3 linked regions of the Arabidopsis thaliana genome follow. The protein of the gene in region 3 interacts with the protein of the main gene of each other region in a biochemical or structural test. Each region holds a gene or a part of one and is shown on either strand. Other genes may lie near its edges.

What was found.
Region 1: the proteins of ABI5 (region 3) and FCA form a complex in vitro, tested with the Arabidopsis thaliana proteins (one study listed by BioGRID).
Region 2: the proteins of ABI5 (region 3) and KEG form a complex in vitro, tested with the Arabidopsis thaliana proteins (2 studies listed by BioGRID, with this or other methods).

Annotation. Positions count from the first base shown.
Region 1 is NC_003075.7:9,210,179-9,217,691, forward strand, and holds the start of FCA (flowering time control protein FCA), read right to left. Parts: upstream 4,648-7,513; 5' UTR 4,235-4,647; coding exon 3,901-4,234; intron 3,646-3,900; coding exon 3,575-3,645; intron 3,488-3,574; coding exon 3,409-3,487; exon of another isoform or gene 1,334-3,408; coding exon 1,251-1,333; intron 1,171-1,250; coding exon 1,119-1,170; intron 922-1,118; coding exon 854-921; intron 494-853; coding exon 427-493; intron 340-426; coding exon 260-339; intron 172-259; coding exon 107-171; intron 1-106. Other genes in the region: SPH1 (S-protein homologue 1), read right to left, coding at 5,502-5,957. UniProt on the Arabidopsis thaliana protein: Plays a major role in the promotion of the transition of the vegetative meristem to reproductive development. Plays a role in the regulation of flowering time in the autonomous flowering pathway by decreasing FLOWERING LOCUS C mRNA levels.
Region 2 is NC_003076.8:4,342,474-4,349,848, reverse strand, and holds the start of KEG (protein kinases;ubiquitin-protein ligase), read right to left. Parts: upstream 4,648-7,375; 5' UTR 4,232-4,647; coding exon 3,489-4,231; intron 2,663-3,488; coding exon 2,309-2,662; intron 2,229-2,308; coding exon 1,998-2,228; intron 1,817-1,997; coding exon 1,691-1,816; intron 1,593-1,690; coding exon 1,256-1,592; intron 1,100-1,255; coding exon 942-1,099; intron 604-941; coding exon 446-603; intron 91-445; coding exon 1-90. Other genes in the region: AT5G13520 (peptidase M1 family protein), read left to right, coding at 5,278-6,273, 6,398-6,631, 6,716-7,042. UniProt on the Arabidopsis thaliana protein: Mediates E2-dependent protein ubiquitination. Acts as a negative regulator of abscisic acid signaling. Required for ABI5 degradation, by mediating its ubiquitination.
Region 3 is NC_003071.7:15,201,645-15,209,525, forward strand, and holds ABI5 (Basic-leucine zipper (bZIP) transcription factor family protein), read right to left. Parts: upstream 5,993-7,881; 5' UTR 5,717-5,992; intron 5,017-5,716; exon of another isoform or gene 4,935-5,016; 5' UTR 4,928-4,934; coding exon 3,797-4,927; intron 3,716-3,796; coding exon 3,644-3,715; intron 3,556-3,643; coding exon 3,424-3,555; coding exon of another isoform or gene 3,336-3,423; 3' UTR 3,101-3,335; downstream 1-3,100. Other genes in the region: AT2G36255 (Defensin-like (DEFL) family protein), read right to left, coding at 24-84; AT2G36260 (Iron-sulfur cluster biosynthesis family protein), read left to right, coding at 1,142-1,283, 1,594-1,711, 1,787-1,856; AT2G36290 (alpha/beta-Hydrolases superfamily protein), read right to left, coding at 7,223-7,528, 7,605-7,872. UniProt on the Arabidopsis thaliana protein: Participates in ABA-regulated gene expression during seed development and subsequent vegetative stage by acting as the major mediator of ABA repression of growth.

The DNA.
Region 1 (7,513 bases), on a different chromosome or scaffold from region 3:
AAGATTCTCCACAAATATAACTCAGACAGAACAAAGAATGAAGGTATATACAATTTACTTGATAAGAGTATTAGGATTAATCAAAATATAGTACCCAAGGCATTACCTTGACTCGCCAGGTTTAGGCCTCTTTGGCTCAGCAAACCGAACAATCAATGGCTGATTGCAACCCTGGGGAAAGGATAGAGGCCAGTAAACAAAACAGGTCCAAAGGGTGATAATGAGAGAAACTGAGATACTTATGTGATTCACAGCTTACTCTCATGGTATAAGTTCCGTTGAGACCATCGATAGCTGCCATTGCCGTCTCTTTGCTTGAATATTTAACAAACCCACATCCTACAAAGTGAAAAACACAGTTTCACCATCTCAACATCATCACACAACAAATAATTTATAGAATCTAGTACAAATTACAAAACATACCACGACTCTGTCTATATTCATCCCGCATGAGATAGACATCTTCCACATGACCAAATTGTAAAAAGATCTGTTAAAGCAATAACAATAAAACAGTTTGTTAAAAGATTACATGAGAAATTGAAACACATAAGTTGAACTGGGAAGGTAGCCGTTCACATTTATTAATTTTATCTATTATGACAGTCAAACAGTTGGATCAATTGGAAGAAGAGATTACACAGTAAGTAGAATGTCCAAGCGCTTGCATTATTGACACAGATTTTCTAGACACTCACCCTTTGGTAAGACTAACAAAATTTATCAAAGAGTCATTTAAAATTATCAACTCAGGTAACAGGGGACACAATAATATCCAAGTTTAGAACTCTTCCCTGTTCCGTTAATCTGACATAAGTAACAACTTCAAAAAGTAAGATACGAAACATACCTCCTCAACTTCTTTTTCAGTGGCTTGCTTGTTTAGTGAACCAACAAAAAGCTTAAACTCTAGGGTGCCTTCAGAAGAAGAGAACTATATCACTTGATAGTAAGGCAAAGAAAACAGGGAAAGAAAAGGATCAACATCCATAAAGTTCATATCATTTCCCACATTTTCTTAATTTTTGTAATCTGAACTTATGCAGCGTATGGTCTTGGCTATGAACACTAGACAATGACAGCCACATTAGATACTCTGTGTGGAAGTTGATTACCTATGCGTTCTCTCTCCCCGTCAGCATATCGAACTTGAACAGGACCAGTTCCCTGGGAATCAACAAAATTATAAAAGGTGAAACAACCTATAGTTTCCTGTTCTTGATAAGAGAAAGCCTCAGGGTAATTACCCCAGGAAGAGTGATCTGATTGTGCAGTGCTCTGATGGCTCTATCCGCATCTTTCGAAGTTGCATATTTTACAAAACAACAGCCTGCATTAAAGACTGATACTTAAGCTATCTGTTTCAGGGTTCAACTTTTCCTTCTACCATCAAATTGTACTAGTAACAAGATGTACTACTCAAAGCACATAAGTTCAGTAGGAAAATCATAAGACATGTCTGACAGCCTCCACTTAAATATTGATGTAAAGTTGTTGGAGAGAATAAATTAATGTCTTCAAATGGAGAATATGGCAAAAACAAATATTAAAAAATTGAACACAGTCAGTATCTGCAGATAACATATCTACAAGAGGGCCTTTCAGACAAAGGGTGGCTGCATTTGTCCAAGCAGGATCCATTTGAAAGAAAATCTAGAAACATGTACAAGTTAATTAGCAACATAAAACATAACTATAGGTCCAAAGTAACGGATTCAGTATGTAAGAATCTCAATAATTGATGAGTAGCGGATAATCAAAACCAAAACATATACACATTTTCGTCACCATACATCAAGCATTTGAAGACTTCAAATAAAGAACTACAGTTATGGGCAAGATAACTCATTGGAAAAAAATCTAATTCAGAAAAGAATACGATTGCTTCATGTAATACATAATTAGGCCCCTGCCTGATGCTGATTGATCAAGGGCAAGAGAGTGAAGTCAACATGCTGTATTAACATCAGAAACTATTCTAAGAAACTAAAACAATCAGGTTCCTTCCATATGTTTGCACCACCTAACATAATAATATTTCACAAGGCTGAAGAAAGAGTTGTATGGAATCTAGTACATTCAACCGCGATCAAAAGTGTTTATGTCACCACAATCAGATGCATTTGTTCTGCCATCCACAAAGGTGTAGCAGTTATAGAAATAATAACTTCTTGGAAAGTCAAGAATTTATAAATAACTATGCACGTACAAACACACCATTCATCGTCTAGTATTTCTTCACACTGACAAAATAGAGACAGAACTAAATGGAGTAGTAGAACAGGAAATTCAATAATAAAATAACAGTTGCACCTTGCAAGCACAAAGGCTTGATTAGCGAAAAGGGAGCATACAAAAAAAATCTATCATCAAACATTTCTTCCACATAAATATCGATCAGCACTGCAAGGGCCACCATACAGACATAAGAGCTACTCAACAAAATATTCATTCATCTATGACGAGAGATGGTATATCACATCACAAGCCATCCAAGGAATAGAGACGTGGGAACATACAAAATACATACATAAGAACTACTAAACAAATCATTCATTCACCTATGACGAGAGATGGTATATCACATCACAAGCCATCCAAGAAATTGAGAGGGACGACCATACAGAAAGCACACATTTCAGGCCATTCAAAGAGAGTGGAAAGAAATATAGCCATCATAGTTCCTCAGGCCATCAACAAAAGAAAAGGAGAAACGCATTCATTCCAGCATCACTCATCCAAAAAGGTAAAAGGAATGCCATCATTAACCAATAGACAGCACACCCATAAATTGATATGAAAGAAAATGAAGACGCCAAACCTCCAACATGATAAAATTAGAAAGACGGCCAAATCTTTGACCAGCAGGAGTGGCAAATCAAGAAACCATCTTTTGAACCTCATGTCCTTATCAAACTACCAACTTAAAAAAATACATTCATCCTGTCAAGACCATACACAACATCTTCAATCCATCTAGAGGAAGAGTAAAGAAAATGAATTTCAATAGGAGAGGAAAATAGCGATGTTCTTATAACCAATTCCCACTATAAAGGCAACAGCAAAATTCAGTTCTCTGTACATTAACTCCAACTCTAAAACACCCTCAATAAATTCTACACTTTTCAAACACATCTAAAGTTCTAGAATACACACAAGTAGCGAAATCTATTTGCCCAACATAAGTACATAAACCCTTTCTTAGCACAGGTAGCCTTCTTCTGTGACAGAATCGAACACAGATAAGACGCTGGCAAGCATAAGCAATAAGCCCGAAAATTGTTGCAAACAATTGGAGGCCAATGATGAGACTGGGGTTGCTTCCCATCAGCCTTTTCAGGGAGACCTGAAATTTTAAAAAGTATAATTCACGACTATTTCCTAATAAAATGGAGATTGACATACCTTGCTGCTGTCCAGTTCTCTTGTCCTTGATCAGAGCAACCTCCAGAACATTTCCATGCTGTTCGAAATAGGGACGGATCTACAATATGAAAACCAACAGAAAAAATTTAGAAAAGGTTCTCAGTAATGAGTATATAGATAACAATGATTTCCAAGATTAACTCACTTCTTCTTCTGTAGCTGTCCTTGGTACAGATCCAACAAAAAGCTTGACTGTACTGCTACGATCAGAGACATCTGCAAATCAAATTAACCAGATAAGGATACACATGAAGATGGCATATAGTTTTGATTATCACATACATGGGAAAATCGAAAGGATCCTCTAGAGTCGATCCCATGAAAAACCTTCAACAATACAGTAACATAACAACCATACTACCTTTCAATACTCTAATCATTGATTCCCACAAAAATAAGAGACACTCAGGAACCTTAACAGACTACAAGAATAAATATACATAGAAGAAAGAAGAGTGAACTCATGCTTACCAGTTCCAGTAAAGCTGCCATGGTCTGAGATAGGATACCCTCTTTTCTGACCGGAAAGAGGCTGCTGGACCGGCGGTGTAGTCGGTCTTACAGAATAATCAGACTCCATTGCTTTACCGATAAATCTCCTCCTGTCTGGACTCTCTGAAGGAGGATACTTCGCGGGATAGTTATACCGAGCTCCAACAATTGACCGTGTCCCTTCTCCTCCCACACCACCGTTAGGACCCATTGGACGAAAACCATCATCGTAGGCAAACCCCATAGGCCGAAAACTTCCACCATGGTGAGGACCCATAGGCTTAAAATCTACTCTATCTGGGGGACCATTCATCTGCCGGAAACCTCCATCTCCGGGACCATCAAAATCCTTAGGAGTGTCATCTTCCCAGCGTCGACCACCATTACCTCCTCCTCCGCCCCCAATTCCAATTCGATAATTGCTAGGGCTGCTTCCACGACGACGACGGTGGCGGCGAAAATCATCATCATCCTCTTCGAAGCGTGAATCTGAGGGACGAGATGGACCTCTGGGATGGGCTCGGTGGTTATGGTAGGAATCCTCGTAGCCGCCACTCTCATGGCGATCCCTTCGGTGTCTGTCCAGCTTGACGTAGTGGGGAATTGCGATTCCAGTCGAAGAAATCAAAGGACTAGGAGCCCTAGAAATTTGGGATCTGTATGAAACCAAAGAGAGAAGAAACGAGTATCGAAGATGATGAATTTGATTGAAGATGAGATCAATTTAGTTGCTCGAAATTTTGATTTTTTTGTCCGAATGTAAAAAAGAAAAAGCGGTCTAGTTACGGTAATAGTGGTTGGACCGGTGATTCAGTTGAAATTTGGACCGGTAGACTTTATTGAGTCTTGGCTGATAACGAAAAATACAGCTACTTGGGCCATCAATATATTTATATACTGCCAAAAGGGGGATACAATTGTTCCAATGAGTTTTCGTTAACAAAAGGAAAAAAATTGACATTTCAGGTAACTCTCACATTCTTAAGTCCAATCCAAAATTCTCATGTCAACTATATGCTTCAGAAACATTTTGATATAGTACATGCATTTCATGGCGTTTATTAAATCATGTGTTGGGTGATCAATAATATAAAGTTCTAAGTAATGCAAAATACTTGCATCACTATATGAATTTAGAGGATATATGACTAGGTCTGAACTACCTTTTACCTAAAATAATCAAATGAATATTTACTGTTCGTCTCCTTCATCATGAGTCACTAGATTCATGAGTCAATAATCAATGGCTTTGTCTTGAGTCAAGTTAATCGTTTAACAGGTTTTTAATGGTTTGAAAGCAAAAAGAAATCTTACCAATATATATAAGTGTAAAATGTAATCTCTATATATCACAAACACAATATTGTTATTTAATCTATGATCTTATTATCTCAGAAAATTAATCTAATAATTAAATGACCTATAAATAAAGAACTAAAACAAAAAATCTATCATTGATGAAAAATACACAAAATAAGAGAGAAAGTTAAAACAAATGTTTTTTATTATTTCAATTTTTTTTTTGCCAAAAACAACAAGATACATGTACTAAAAAATTACCAAAAAGCAAAAATATGGCTTCACCATCCAACTTCCCATTTTCTTGACAATACATCTTCACCGCTCGCTGAATTCCAAAGATAAAGGCCATCAGTTTTTGCAGTCCAAATGCAATTCTTCCAACCGCATCTATGGAACAAGATAACATCATCCCAAAACACGTTTACATTCATATGACCATTATCTTTGTTCATATAGCACCAAAAAAAAGTTGAGTGAAGCATATTTTCTCCGAAGTTCCAAGAAAATCTATTTCTAAACTTCAGATTAATTTCACCTAGATCATCTTCTTTAGATTTACAATGGATGAAAAGAGTTTCACCAGTTGTCAAACCGTTAACAACCGTGACTTGCCACTCAGAAATCTTCGGGACTATAATGTCTCTCGTGGTGGTGCCGCCGACTAAGACATGGTCTTGACATGTTAGGGCCAGAGAAAAGCAAATTGCCAAGAGAAATTGTTTGATGCAATTCATACTTTTTTCAGGCAAGCAAAATCTTTAGGGAGAACTTTTTTGTTACTTCTTTTTATAATGGAAGAGTGAAACGGTAATTGACGTTTAATTAAATTTTGATGTTATTACATTGCATTAATGAAGAGTCATGCTGCAAATCATTTAAGTGATTGCATGTTAATTAGAAATGAAGCTGAAAGGTTAGTACATATAATAATCCAAGTACGTAGATGATTGTGGCATAATATATTAAGATTAAAAAATACTAATTTATATTGTGGTGTAAGCTATTAGTTTTGAATTTATTATGTGAATCAATTTTAAAAGTTATTAGTTTTTAGATTTAGATTATGACCCAAGAATTCGAAGTATATAATCGAAAAATTTAATGTATAAAAATAATAATTCAACATGGTCGATCGGGTATTTATTTCTAGTAAAATAGTATTTCATAAACCTAATTTTAGTTAACTATATAAATTATAACACTAGTAAAGTATTCTGCCTTTTACGTTACTTTATTGGGATTAATAAAAATATATTGGATTCGTTGAAATCCAATAACAAATTGTAATTTTGATCTTTGATTCATAGAAACAAAAAGTTACGAAATTAAAGAAATTTTTAAACAAAAGAGTACTCGACCAGAAAAATATGTTTTTTTTTCTATTTTCTCACTCATATTTTTCAGATAGAGAAAGCAATTTTCAGTACACCGAAATTAAAATCCGACGACTAAAAATAGTTTCTTCTCTCTCTCAAATCCTTCTGAGAGGAGAGGTTTCTTGTCGATGGAGTTTGATTTCGGTTTTGTCTGGAATTTTATATATTTTCGTGTATATACAAACAAAATAACTGCCGACCTTTTATCGGATTTCCGTTATTAGCTTTGTTCGATTTATCAAAATTTTATATACTTTTGTGTATATACGCTCTAGCGAAATTGATCTCTCTTCCATCTGTGTCCGTTGATGTCTCCGTTTTTCTTCTAAATCTTATACGATCTCTCCAATTTTTTCGAGGAGTAACATCTTTGTCACTTCCTTTTGCTAAGTTCATACTACATCAAGTTAGGTGTATATAGTGGTGGAGTTTCCTCGGAGTTTGGTGTTGTTCGAAGAATTTCGAACAATCTCTTTCAATAGATCTAGAGATTAATTGACGGTTGGTTTGGAACTGAGATCGTTAGAAAGGAGGAAGTTTCTCAAAATGACTTCATTAAGCAAATGCTTTTTCTTTGCATTCTTGTGTTTCATTGCTCTCTTGACTCCATGAATGGCAAAATTAAATTACCTAGGTGATTATTTACGCTATCCTACAGATATTTTCGATTTTTTTTGTTTTGTTTTGTTTTATTAAATATTATGTTTTGATAAATTTAGTTTCTAATTTACTAAGCACTCACTCATCCATTCAACAAATTCAACAAGTATTCTTATTTCTTAGTGTCAAAGTACTTTTCTTATCAACCTTATCAACAATGTATCACACTCACACTCTTCAGAAATAAATTTCTATCCTAAACCAAGTTTAAAGATGATAATGTTGAGATTATATAAACCAGTAAGTATATGGTT
Region 2 (7,375 bases), on a different chromosome or scaffold from region 3:
CAGTATGCAACGCTGTTCGCCCGTGCTGAGCATCTTGCGCAGTCGGATCTGCCCCAGCTGCAAGCAATATCTGAACCAGCTCTCTACCTTCTGCAGCAGTATACATGTTAAGTAAACTGATTCATATGGTAAGACGAATAATGACATAACATCCAATAAATTCAACTTTGATACAATACTCTTGTAAGAAATAGCAGGAAAAAGTTCAAATAACATCCTTTTTTGGTAATGTGCAAAACTACAAGTAACTGATCTTTTAGATGTACTACATAAAATACCATTGGAAATGTGCTTGAAAAAATTCTTATCTTATAGAGATGACCATAATCATCGTGTCATCAAATAAAGATAAAACTTCGTAAAGATCCTCATAAAATATATCAGATATAGTCATACTTCTACCAAGCAATTCACCAAACAAAAGATACTACGATTTCATCATTACCCTTTTCATGATCTTTCCTTATAGAAGCAGCCATACACAGAGCAGTGCCAACTGGGCTTGGGATATTAATTGCCTGAGAAATTTCTTCTGGACTGGAAACTTCCACCCATCTCTTGATAACAGCAACATTCCATGTTGCTACACACATATGTAACGGTCTGAAACAAACATAAAAGTATAAAGATCTGTAGCATAAAACATCAGAAACATAGGTTTACAAAATGAAATATGCTTTCCTAAGAAAGAAAAGAACCAAGGTACACATTAAATGGTTCAGCTACCTCATTGTGACTTATCCAAACAGGTTAATGTAGTAGACATTTTTAAGCACATACAATGCTCAAAATAAGTTATAATGTAGATGCAAATAGGAGTATAAGAACTACAAAATAAAACCAAACAGAACTTGCTTTAAAATGGCCCAGTAGTAATCTATCCGTGCCAAATTTTATGGTCCCGTCTACCTAGCATAGAAAGAGGTCATTTCTGTACTTACGTCAGGCACTTCGCATTTGAAACAGTCATTGATCTAGATCCCCCATTTTCCAATATAACAATGGCACAATCTGTGTATTTCTTGGCAACAGCTCGATGAAGCACAGTTTCACCTTCATCATCCACTGCATTTGGATCGGCTCCAGCTACCAGCAATTCCTATTGATAGTACCAATTAGCAGAGAATAGTTATTAACATGATAATAGATATAAGACAAGCATAATATCTGATACACTTCACATAAGTGGAAGATTTGCGATCATGTTGTGGAAGCTTTAAAGTGACTGATAGCTTCCTCGGGAGCAGAGACTTACACGCATACAATCAGGTTGGCCATGGTACGAACACACGTGAGCTACAGATGGGCCAGATCCTTCCCGCAGTCTGGACCTCACATTAGCCCCCTTTTTAATGAGAACGTGAACACATTGTGGAGATCCAGCTGCTAAAGCAAAGACAAGAGGAGGATCCCCATCTTTGTCCACGATATCTACATTAGCCTCCCCATACTCCAGTATAGCCTCCACAAGTTCAGCACTGCCACGTCTGCAAGCTAAGTGAAGAGCCGATTGACCATCAGCGTTTTGCGCCTCTAATAGAGATCGCACAGAGCTTCCACCGCCTCCAGCTGCAGCCTTTGCAAGTATATTTCTACTCCAAAACAAAAATCAAACCAATGTAGTTGAGAACAGGTTGTTTATAGCTAGTGCGAACAAAAGGATTAACTAGAATTCCTAACAGATACTAACCTTACACCCTCAAAGTCTCCCTCCAAAACAACCCGATGTAGGTTGTTAGGGTTATCCTGAAAGACCCCTATGTTAGTCGCGCGAGGTGCTTGTACAATGTTTACTTCACATATTTTGGCAATCCCACTACATCATACATGGTTTATATTATTGTTAGGCGAAGGAATATAGGCATGATGACAAAAATAATCTTAGGTGTTGGTGCTAATATTAATCTTAACACAAGTGAAAGGGTCTTCTTTACTGACAAGCAACGAAAACAGGGAAACCATAAAACTAAGTAATCTTAGGGACTTAAAACTCTTACTTATCAGGGCTTGCTGAAGGGCTACGTGGTATCTCTTGTAGATGACGAAGAAATGTAGCAAGCATTGCATTAAAGGTTGGTCTTTTCGACGGTTTAAACTGAAGACATTCACCAATCATTTTCCATAATTCCCGAGGAATTCCCACACCCACTATGCGTTCATACTGTGGTGGTACTTTTCGGGCTTTCACAACAGCTTGAAAAATTTCTTCTCTACTAAGACCATCCCACCTGTAAAATTAAGTGACAGTTAGTACAATGGCAGACACAAAACACAACTGAAATATCAACTAGGAAGAGGCTTCACATACGGAGTGGATCCAGTGCACATCTCTACTAACGTACAGCCAAAACTCCATGCATCTGATTCTGGAGATACACCACTTGCATCCTCCCAAAAAAGTTTTTTCACCGGTCCCCAAGCCTCTGGGGCAGTGTAGTGTGGACTGAGTGTTACACAGTCCGTGTATAGAGTGACTTTTGAGGAATCAAACTCTGGTCGAGTTTTCTGGCATGTTGGCTTCTTTAGGATGGGAGCGAGCCCATAATCAGAAACCACAGCATTGCCGCTTGCATCCAAAAGAAGATTGGAAGGTTTTATATTCATACAGATAACACCTGCTGCATGGAGTTCTGCAACCCCTCGAGCAACATCAGCCCCATATCTACAGTTGGTAAAATTTAATATCACAACAAGAGCAATGGAATAATACATATGTTGGTCACTGAAGGAATATTCTAAGTTGTAAACTTAAAACAACATGAGCACGATATGAAAGGAGAATACAAAACACTCATTTACGCATTAGTGCTTACATTTAATAGTCCCAAATGACGCAATTCAGTTAAAAACAGAAAATAGGAGGAAATACAAACAAGTGAATTGAAGGTAATATTAGAACCAGGACAACAAAATAAGGATCATCTTTAGATGATGCGTCCTTTGATAAATTAATGTATAACAATTCGTACAATTTTTTGCATGATTTGATATGTCAGTTCGTTGAAAAATGATTTCTGGTCATATACTTTAGAAGGAAGCATACTAATGTAAAGGGCTTTCTCAAAGATATCTTGCAAACGTAGGTTCAAGGATCCACTACTAAAAAGGAAAGGACTAGTCCAAAAAATGTTTGTCTATTGAGGCATTGACAGATGAAAAGTAGCTGCAGCTGGTAATGACAAAGAGAGATGACAACTACTATAATTCGTGCCTAGCTTTTTAAGAACATCTAAACTAAAGTTATCTTACAAGTTGCCCTTTTGGCAAATGACACCAGGTTTTAGTTGCTTGTTTCACTAGAATCTGAAAAACTGTGCACTTACAATATATATTTCTAATAGCAATCACAAAAAACCAAGTCGGGTCTAGTCCAGTAATTTCTAATTAGGGAACAGGCTATCAAAGTTTGAGACTTTAAGCACAGAAACGATCACAGTAAAAGCCAGATACTAGGCAAAAAAAAAGAATAAGAGAAGCAAAAGAGGAACCTTAGAATCTGCTCCAAAGTAAGTCTGCCTTCATTGCGTTGCATCTCAGACTGAACAGACCCAAAGCACCTGTCCATCAAAAGACAAAGAGATCCATCCATCTTCACAACCCCATGGAAAGTACAAACATTCCTACACCACATGGATGCTCTCCGCAAGCTCTCAAGCTGTCCCTGCATCCACTCAACATCCATGTCCTCCGTCAAAGTCATCTTTTTCACCGCCACACGGTGCTTACACCGTCCACCACCGCCTGCAACAGTTGCATCCCACATCTCCACACCTCCAAAACCACCACTACTACTCTCTTCCCCAATCTGCCTCACCAGCTTCATCTCCGGGTGAGCTCCGACCTCGATCACTGGACCACACAAGCTATTAATCGAGCTTGAGGCATGAAATCCACGAGCGGCACGAGCTCCATCTTCATCACTACCATCTTCTTCATCGTCGTCATCCTCATCATCCGTGTAATCGCAATCGAAGTTAGCGCCGCCGGATGCGGCGTGAATGAGAGCAAGCATAGCGTAGTTCTTCCTGAGACCCTGAACAGAGTTCCCAACAACAGACACGTGGCGACACCGGGGACAAGTGAGGGTTGTGTCGGAAGAAGTAGAGAACATCTTGGAAAGACAATCTTTGCAGAAGCCATGGCCGCATTGAAGCAATAAAGGAACTCTCTCATCTTCATTATACCGCGTGTGGCACACGGAACAACAAGGGACCTTGACTCTCCCAACCATGAGAGCTCCGAAAAGAGAAAGCCCTAAATTAATTTAGGTCGCGAGATCAAAGAGTAAGAAGGGAGTGAAAGACCAATCAATTCAGTAGAGAGAGTTCCTCAGAACATATCTGGGGGGGGGGGGGGGGGAAGGAAACTCAGTAAAGTCGATCCAGATCAAGGAGAGAAGAACAGATCCATGGAGAAGAAAGAAAAAGGTGGAATTTTTGAAAGGTAGATCAAAATTGGCTGGGAAAAATCAGACACGAGCAAGCAAGAATAAAAATTGTAAGAAAAATGTGAAAAAGGTTCTTCTTCAGGGTTTTATATCATCATTTTTATTTTTATTTTCATTTTTTTCCAATTTTATTTGGGGTTGAGTCTCGAGGGCTCTCTGGTTTCGTCGGTTTTGACGGGTGGGTGCCGTCAGCACTTGTGCTCGAACCCGTTTATTGACTCTCCTAATAGTAGTAATCGTCAACCATCAGATTTTATATTTGTTGTCATCAACAACTTAAACCATCAGGAAAAAATAATTGTAATTTTTACTGAGAGTTTTTTTTTTTGGCGAAGTTTTTACCAAGTAGCTTTTGAGCCAAATGCAAAAACAAATAGATTGTTTGATCTTGTAATAGAGTTCACCAAATAATGAGACGATAAATCTGACACCAATACCAAAATGTAAACTCGTTGTTTGTTGCTAAGTAGATTACTCGTGTGAGTGTATAACTCATGGACCTAAAACTTGAAGCTCAATAGAGGCTCAAGCCCAAAAAGATGGTTGTTAAAAATCTCAGGATTGTTGGTGGCTTGGTGTGCTTTTGGTTCATCCAACTTGGGTTTAACATTGTATTTAGTCGCCGTTTAATATCTAACGGTTTCAACTTTATGCACTAAATGATTCTCCATTAACCAAATTATTCCAAAAATACATTATTTATCATCATAAAATGGTACCATCGAACAACAATTCTTCATTTTTTCTTTTTCTCCCGCTTTATACTCTCTTCTCCACCTCTCTAACTGCCCCTTTCCTCAAAACCCTAAGCAAGCTTCTCTCACTCAGCAATGGCACCCATTGATCCACACTCTTTCACCGATTCCTCTCATCCTCTCACCACGCATGTCGCTCTCTCCCTCTACCTCGATTTCAACACCTCCATAATCCATGGCTCCGCTCTCCTCACTCTCTCCTCCGCCTTCTCCGGCGAACTCTCTCTTGATACTCGCTGCATTTCCATTGCTATGGTCCTCGATCCTCTCACTCTCGAGCCTATCCCTTACTCCGTCTCCACCACACCGGATCGAATTCGGGGCACCGAAGTTGTCGTAGTCCTCTCCGGTCAATCTTCACTGCTAATTGTCTACTCCACTTCGCCTTCTGCTTCCGCTCTCCAGTGGCTTTCGCCGCTTCAAACTTTCTCCAAATTGCATCCTTATGTCTACACGCAGTGTCAAGCGATTCACGCCAGATCCATTTTCCCATGCCAGGACACTCCTGCCGCGAGGATCCGTTACGACGTCGTTATGAACATACCGAATTCGCTCTCTGCCGTCATGTCGGCTCGCCACGTCCGTCGTAGGCTTGCGGTTCCTGAGGAGGCTAAACATCTCGAGGCTGGGTCGCTGGGGTCGTCACTGTGGTGTGGTGAGGATAGAGTTGTGGAAGAGTTTGCTATGGAACAGCCTATACCGCCTTATCTATTTGCTTTTGCCGTTGGTGAGTTAGGGTTTCGGGAAGTTGGACCTAGGACTCGGGTATACACAGAATCTGCCGCCATTGAAGTTCTAGATGCGGCTGCTCTGGAGTTTGCAGGAACGGAGGATATGATCAAGCAAGGGGAGAAGCTGTTTGGAGATTACGAGTGGGAGAGATTTGACTTACTGGTGCTGCCTCCGAGTTTTCCTTATGGAGGTATGGAGAATCCAAGAATGGTTTTCCTGACGCCTACTGTTATCAAAGGAGACGCCACTGGAGCTCAAGTTGTAGCTCACGAGCTCGCACATAGCTGGACTGGGAATTTGATCACTAATATCAACAATGAACACTTCTGGTTGAATGAGGTAGCTTTGAATTGTCTTGTGCTTTTGCTTCTTTTAGCTACAAATTAGGATGTGTAACTGTGTGTCCGTTTTTAGAGTTTGCCTTGTTGATGGGAAAGTGTTTATTTCATGTTCATGGCAATAGGGATTTACAACTTACGCAGAGAGGAGAATTGTGGAGGTTGTTCAAGGGGCGGATATAGCTACTTTGAACATTGGCATTGGTTGGAGGGGTTTAACTGATGAAATGGAACGGTTTAAGGACAACTTGGAGTGCACTAAACTGTGGAACAAACAAGAAGGTGTTGATCCAGATGATGTATATTCTCAGGTCCCATATGAAAAAGGATTCCAATTTGTGTTGCGAATTGAACGCCAGGTTAGTTGAATTGCCCTCTTCGCTTAGGTGTTTTGTTATGTAATGTTTACAATAATGGTCATCTATTTACTGGAAAACTTTCAGATTGGAAGAACTGCTTTTGACGAATTCCTCAAGAAATACATTGCTACTTTCAAGTTCAAGTCAATCGATACAAACACATTTCTTGAATTCCTGAAAGCAAACATCCCTGGCATAGAGAAAGAGATCAATCTACAGCTGTGGACTGAGGGCGTTGGTATACCAGAGGATGCATATGAACCAGTCTCAACCATTTACACAAAGATCATATCCCTGGCGAAAGAGTTTAAGGAAGGAAAGATGCCAAGTGAGGATGATGTTGCTGAGTGGAACGGACAGGAATGGGAGCTGTACTTGGAGAATCTTCCTAAATCATGTGAACCTTCTCAGGTACTCTTTACTCCTTTCTTCCTCTAAGTTAATGGGAGCTGTACTTGGAGCTGTACTTGCTGAGTGAATCTTTATTTCTTCCTCTAAGATAATGGGAAATGGCTTGACTTAGGTTGAACTACTCAATAAGCTTACATAAGGAGGAGAAAAAGGCCTAACTAACTGTCAGTTAGGTTAGCTCAATAGTTACTCTTGGATTAATGTGGGGCTAGTGAATAATGATTGTGGAAAAACCCTCTTGGCTTTGGGAGAGTTCATGATTGTGGAAAGTGTATTGGCTTTGCAAGAGTTAGGATCTTATCTTGTTTGTTAATGACAATGCTAGTCAACAAA
Region 3 (7,881 bases):
AGTTAAGAAAATCTTAAAATTACCATTAGAAACCAACAAGATGATCATCAAGAGAGCAGAGAAGTTAACTATGAGCTTTGCCATATTTCTTTGTTGTTGTTTTGTGTTTGCTTCTTCTTCTTTTTTTAATAGAGCAGAGATTGATGAGCTTGTAGCTAACTATTTGAAAGCATAGAATCATTTATAGGGCAAACTCGTTGACTTTTATTTCTTCTATTTGAATCCAAGACATATATAGTTTATTAGTTTTTGTGTAATATGGATTAATGTATATAATGTCGCCATAATTTGAATTGCTAGTTGACAAAACAGAAATGAATTGCACGATCCACCCAATGTCTCGCTAATGATCTCTCTATGTTGCATCCAAATTGTAACAATTTTTTATATAGCAACATATTATAATTTTAATGTCATTATTTTGGCCCAACTAAAATTCAAGGGATGAGGATAAAGTATATAGAACACCAAACCTTGTATCATACGTATGAATACACAGAAATAGTTAAATATAATTATTGAAGTGTTCTTAGTAAAGTGCCTTGACTCAACTTAACATAATGAGCACATATAATGACATTGATATTGTATTGACTCTTTGTTTCATATGATACTATACCAAATAAATTTCTTATTATATAAAATGTTTTCATAACAATTTGACATGTCGCATAATTATAATCTCATGTTTTGCGATTAGCTTTTCCGCCAAAAAATGCTATATAACCAGAGGCTTAGAGTGAGAATAAAACAAGAAACAAATCAAACACAACAATTTTCCGCTTGTAAATGTGATCGTAGCCTTGGAGGACTTATAACTTAGGGTTCATGGGAGAATGTTAGTGGACGAATACGGGAGCGTTGACACGTTTGGTAGTTATTATTATGTTGTGTAATTAAGACTTTTTCTGGAAGCTAGATCGTTTCATCATCCCATATTCAATACAAACTTTATATATTACTAATACTAATTCTTTCGGGCTTTACAGGCCTAAACAGTTCTTAAGACTTGTTCACTAAATTATATATTAAAGTACAATGGCTCTTTAAATATCAACTTGTAACAAATTTGCTTGGACGTCTTCTTCCTCTCTGAAAAATCTTTAGCACAAATTTGAAATCCTCGAATATTTGGTCGGCGATGAGAAAGCAAGTATTAGCATTGAGTGACACGGCGGCTGCGAGGATTCGCCAACTTCTGCAGCATCAGCAAAAACCTTTCCTCCGCCTTGCTGTTGAAGCCAAAGGATGCAATGGCCTATCTTACGTCCTCAATTACGCCCGTAATTTCCATTTTTTCCCACATATATATTTCTTTTTTGTTGATTTTTTCCTCATAAATTATGTTGATATATATTTGATGCTCATGATGAGGAGGGAGTTCATATTGATTAGAGAGATGTATGTAATAATTAAAGGCACATATTCTATCAGGTTCAGAGTCAAGTTTTAGGGTAGGTTTTGTCACCTTCCTAGGAACCTAAGACCTTTTGTTTTGTAGCACTTTTGAGAACTTTTAATAGATGACTTAAATGTGTCCTGACTCCTGAGGCTTCCTATTTGGCGTTGTTCTGCTATGATCTTTGTTTTCAGAGGAGAAAGGGAAGTTTGATGAGGTGGTCGAGGAGAAAGGTGTAAAGATCCTTGTGGATCCAAAGGCGGTGATGCATGTGATTGGGACAGAGATGGATTTCGTGGACGATAAGCTTAGGTTTGTGCCCTTTCACGTGCCAATCTTGACACTCTCTTTATTCATGGTAAACATGTTTGCATTGTATTGGCACAGGTCTGAGTTTGTGTTCGTCAATCCAAACGCGACAAAGTGTGGATGTGGTGAGTCATTCACGACAACATGAAAGGCAAAATTACACATATAACATAATAAGACATATATAACTCTATTACTCTACCACAGTAGTCGATGAAATTTGCTTTGTAAATACAACTATCTTAAGGCTGTCTTCCGTGTAGGTTCGCAATTTGCGACGTTTGCGATGATTTAATGTAATGTGAATAAGTGTGTGTGGAAATGGGTTTCGTTTCTACGTATTACTCTGGATTTCTTACGACTTCAACAAACCAATGAAATTTTGACATCAAAAATAACTCCGACATAAAAATTGGCCAAGTCGGAAACATTTTACGATAAATAAAAACCCCACACTGAAGCCTGGTAAAAAAAAGTGGGTAGAAATGTGAGTGTGGTTGATTACTCTAGCCCGGTTAAAGTCAGCCACTTTAAAACACAAACATCTTCCTCTACAAGATTCTCACACTCTCTCTCTCACTCACACAAAAGAAGAAGAAGAAAAGATTCTGGCAAAAAGATTCATCCTCCATTCCTCCTCCTCTGACGATATCACCGATCAACAGCTCGGAGATTCCACTTCCGACGGCTGCTACGTCATCAAGAAGGTTGAGAGAACTGTGTGCAAGAAGAAACAGGGCTGGCGTGGTAAATCCATCAAGACATGCCAAACATCCATTGAGATCCATATCCATTGTCAAGCCAAGTAAGCATTTCTGTTCTCTCGGAATTGAGAGTTTTCTAGGGTTTAGAGTTTACTTGATTCGTACGGGTTATTAGTGATTTTAGAGTGTTTGATTTTGTAAGTTACATGATTACAGAGTCTTCCAAACCAACACGGTTGACACTGATCAAGACGATCTCAGTGCTCTTCCGAAACGGTTCTAATTAATTCTTCGACTTAATCTTAAGAAAATTTACCCTACTTTCAATCACTAACTAACTTGTTTCTCTTGTTCTTGATTGTTGTTGTTGCAGCTAGAAGAGGAAGTGGAGAAGGTATATGACTCGAGAAGAGTGTGTTCCACAGAGAATGCAATAGACAAATCAACATGAAGAAGACAACACTCTCTCTCTCTCACGTTTACTTTGTTCCTTGCTCTTTCTCTCCTTGTATTACTGAATGTTAAGCAGTACTCTAATGTAATTTGCATCTTGATCTATCTAGGTTACTAGGTTTAACTATCTGACTTGTGTCCCGAGTATCTTTTGTCTTGCGCATTGTGTCATTCCAAATTAAGACTCTTCATGGTAGTGCACAGAAACAGAGTGTACCTAAATCTACAAGTGAGCATAACACTCGTTATATTTTCCAAAGATTGATGATGTTGAAACACAGAATCACTTTCTTTGTTCACAGGGAACACTAGTAAAGCAGATCAGATGGTGTTCCTCCTACCAACACAGAAAACATCAAAGTATAAAGATTCTATAACCTCATTCCTCAAAGACAAAACAACAACGTAGAAAATCATCAGTTTTTCCCTCGTTCTGTCTCCGACTTCTTCTCCATCTTCCTATTGTTTGTTTAGAGTGGACAACTCGGGTTCCTCATCAATGTCCGCAATCTCCCGTTCGATTTCGGCAATTTCGGTTGTGCCCTTGACTTCAAACTCTCAAAATACTGCAACCATAAACCAACAATTCCATTTTGTAGTTTTCTTCTGACCAAAATACTGCAACCATCTTAGTAATGCAAACTCAATAGGTGTCTTTACCTGTTGCTTCCTCTTCCTCTCCAACTCCGCCTTGATGAAAACATAACAAAGGCTAAATTGTTACAAACTCACTTTCACAAAAAGAATAAACTCTTTAACGAGATGAGTAAATATATACCAATGCATGTTTTAGCTGCGCATTCTCTTCTTTCAACTGGTTAAGTTCAGCTTCCAATTCCACTGTATATGCCTTCCCAAAACAACAACAACAAACATTAGATTTTTTTCAACAAGAAACATCATAAAAGGAATGAAGAAGGTCTCTATTTACTTGTTTTCTTGCTCTAGATCTAGCAGCAGACTCGCGGTTCTTGATCATCCTCCTCTGTCTTCTCTCCACTACTTTCTCCACTGGACCATCCACTACTCTTTTCCTTCCCCTTAGCCCTCCCATATCTACTCCATACTGACCTCCTATGTTATCCACTTGTCCATGTCCTAATCCATCTGAAGACACCGGGCTTAACGGTCCAACCATTCCCATTTGCTGTCCACCCGCTCCAAACCCAACGCCACCTCCATAGCAAACACCTGCCTGAACTGGTGGCGCCTGCTGATACCCTCCTCCTCCTGTCCTTTTAGCATAACCTGATGGGTCACCCACACCCATAGCTTGACCCGGGAATGAAGGATCACCGGTTCCTTGAAACACACCATAAAGCTGTTGCTGTGCAGCTGCGGGTATTACACTAGACGGGTTTTGGTTTTGGTTCGGGTTTGGATTAGGTTTAGGATTAGTGGGATGTTCTCTAACCACACCAGCCTTCACCAAGAAATCCTCAAGTGTCATCTCTCCAAAAGTCGGTTGTCTAGCCGCAGTCTCACCGCCGTTCTGAGCATTGTTCTGTCCATTACTACTACTACTACGTCCATTGCTGTCTCCTCCATTACCGCTACCACCACCTCTATGTATCTCAGACCAAACCTCATCAACAGTCTTCCTACAAAGCGGAGCTGGAAGTGTCAAAGAGCCTTGTCGAGGAAGACTAGACTCGTTCGCTATCCCTCTCTTATTGTTAGCATCTTCGTTGCCTCTAGAACCACCACTAAAGACACCAACACCACCCTCGCCTCCATTGTTATTGTTGTTGTTGAAACCATTGTGATTAGCCGGAACAGAATGTGAACCTGCAGCTGCTGCTGCTTGTTGTTGATTGTTATTATTCTCCTCTGCGTTCCAAATAGAGACAAGAAACTCGTCCATGTTCATGGACCCAAAGTTCTTGCCGTTCTCACATAAAGCATGTTGGAACTCGTCAAGGGTCAATGAGTAGATAGAGGATTGTCTTCCCAAAGAAGTAAACGGATGATTCTCACCACCACCTCCTCCATTATGTCTCGCTTGCGCCATGGACGACTCTACTTCTCGCTCTGACGTCAACTTCGTTTCTCTAGTTACCATTTAACAACTGCATCATATACACAACAATAACCATTTTTATATCTGTATTCACACAAACTATATTGAAATATGGATACCACCTAAACGACAATAACAATTTTGTCTCTTATATATTAAATTCATCGTATTATTTTGACCAAACTTCAGTTACTTGTCCCTGTTCAGCTATTCACGAAACTCACTTAATAGTTGTCCCTTATTCAACTATCACGAAAAAAGACAATTGAATTATTTGATAATTGATGCTCTCAAAGAATGAAATAAATTATTTTGGTAAAGTGGAGTTTAAATGACGTAAAAAATATTGAAATAACAAGAATGAAAGAAGGTAATTAAGTCGGTCCACGTGAAAATAAAGAAGAACGGTCCACATCGTGACAGCGACAAACGATACTAAAATTAGCAATAAATAAACTAATAATTTACTCTTCCAATAAAGTTTTCGTTACCAAAAGAGGAAAATATCTTAACCCACTCGTTTTCTTCTTAAAGCGAACTTATCAACACAAGATTTTTTTCCTCTTTAATCATTTATTAATACGGTTTTAAACAAAAGATAATCTAGAGCTTAACCTGATGATTAGTAAAATAAATTAATCATTAGCTTGGGTCATCATTATATCCGTCTATTACTAAGTATCACTTTACCACAAAGTTTAATATTTGGTAATACGCAGATAAGTAAGGACCAGAAAACGAAGACCTAAACTTATAAATAAAGAGATAGATTTATTTAACAGTCTTCTAATCCAAGATCTTGAAAAATTATAAAACAAGAAAAGTGTTAACCTGAAAATGAAATCTGTGTGTCTAAAAACCGGTGGCTTTGTGTTCCTCCGCCGCCGGAAAACTGAGAGAATCCGCTTCTTGTTATGGAGGTTCTCCTCCTTCACATAGTTTAAAAGCCGCCGGAGAATTTTGACTGAAAGGTTTTGAGAAAGAGAGAGATAAATGGGTAGGAGGCGGTAAAAGAGAGATTGATATTTATGTTCTCACCGTGAGAGTGTGGCGCGTGGGGTCTAAGAAGAGAGGCGTGAAGGTCAACATCTTTTGTCTAAAGTTATCTTTCGACCAATGGAATGCTAACTTAGACAGGTCCAGGTCCAGGCCCATGATCAGAGACAAAGAATCCGTTCGGCTGCGGACGACACGTGTCCTGCACGTGTCTCTCTTCTGTTTCTTGCAGTGTCTTCTCACAGGCTCGACACGTGTGACTTCGGCTACACAAATGTTTTTTTACGTCTAAAACTAGACATGATTTTCTCTCTTTTAAGCATATATAAGATAATAAGAACGTGAAATTTGGATTAGAAGAGCGAATTAAAGTGTGATCTTTTTTTACATATTGGTTCATGATTTGTTTTGTGAAATTGACGGATTAATTTGATTGATCAATACTGATTTACTTTGGTAAAAACATATTTAGGTTAGATTCAAGATGTTATGAAAGAAATAGTCAAAGTTTGTAAACACTTGTTTGTCGTTGAGCTTCTAGCTGGTGAAAGTAGACTTGTTAGATTTTGAATAGAATTACGTTTAGTGAGACAAAAACTTATTAAAGAATTAAAACAAATCAAAGTCGAGAAATTATCCTCTTCCTTTTTTACTTTTTTTTTCGAAGATATTTTATTTAACTTTGACAAAAAAAAAAAAACATGATTCCGAACTTCCATTGGGAGTGCACGTGGACTATTCACTGCATAAGGACTATCGAATTTTAAATGCTTAATTTATCAAGTGTTTCTAATAGCCAAAAAACTAAAAACAAAAATAAAAAAGATTATCCGACCTGCCGGAATCGAACCAGCGACCTAAAGATTACAGCAACTACTACAGTCTTCCGCTCTACCAACTGAGCTAAGGTCGGATTGATGCTAATTAGCCTAATGCGGTTTTATATAAACTTAACTATTAATTATCATATTGGCCTCTTTAGTTACTTTTTTCCTTTGATTGTTTTTAGACCATGCAAACACAAACACAAGTGGCCCATAATTCAATTAATACACCTAATTTTGTTCTGACACATCTCACAATTAATGGCTGTCTAAGCCTAATATTAAACTAGTTGACATTAGCCTAAAATTGGGTGATATACAGAAACAGCTTTTTGAGATGAATGCTGAGAATGTTTTACATAGGTACCAGAACTCTTTACTAATCACCCACAATATATATCAGCAACCAAGAGAAACTTGAGATTCTCATGAATCTCTCTGATCCCGGTTCAAAATATCATAGCAATGCATGTTACAAAACCAAAACTAGCCAACTTTTTGAGAGAGAAGACATCGTTTACTTCTTCACTCCATCATTGGTTAAGAGCGTTTTAACAATGTTATTAACCATACCTGGAGCAAACGGGAACAAATGCCCTGCTCCAGGAATCTCATGGTAATGGATCCATGGCAGCTTCTTCGCAATGTAACGTTGCAGAGTCACAGGGACAAGCACATCATCATCTCCCTGCCACAAGTGCACTGATCCTTCATTGTTCGGGAACAGATTCTCGAGCTCCATTGGATCGAACTCCCAAGTTCCAAATCCAACAATCATGTCACGGTGCAATGTCTCGTGTGTTCCTTGTTGCCTTATTTGTGCCTTCATAGAGACTTAGATTTGATAAATGCAAATAGGTAGGTGAAGAAAAAGAAGTCATGAAGAATGTTGTATATACCTCATGTTGGCTCCTTGCAGCACCGAGCTTAAACATGATCTCTTTGTCTGCTTTGGACAACATACCGAGATTGCGAGCCACAACACTTGATCCAGGGAACCAGCTCTGGGAGTTCCACCAATGAGTAAGCCAAGGAGCATAGTGTGCAACACGAACCGCCCATTGGTCATTTCTCCCTTGTTGGTTAAAAGCTTCGGTTGAGATCTCTGATGGAAAGTTCTTCCACCAATAGTTCACCACTGGAGCAACAAGCGTTACTCCAGCCAACCTTAAGAAG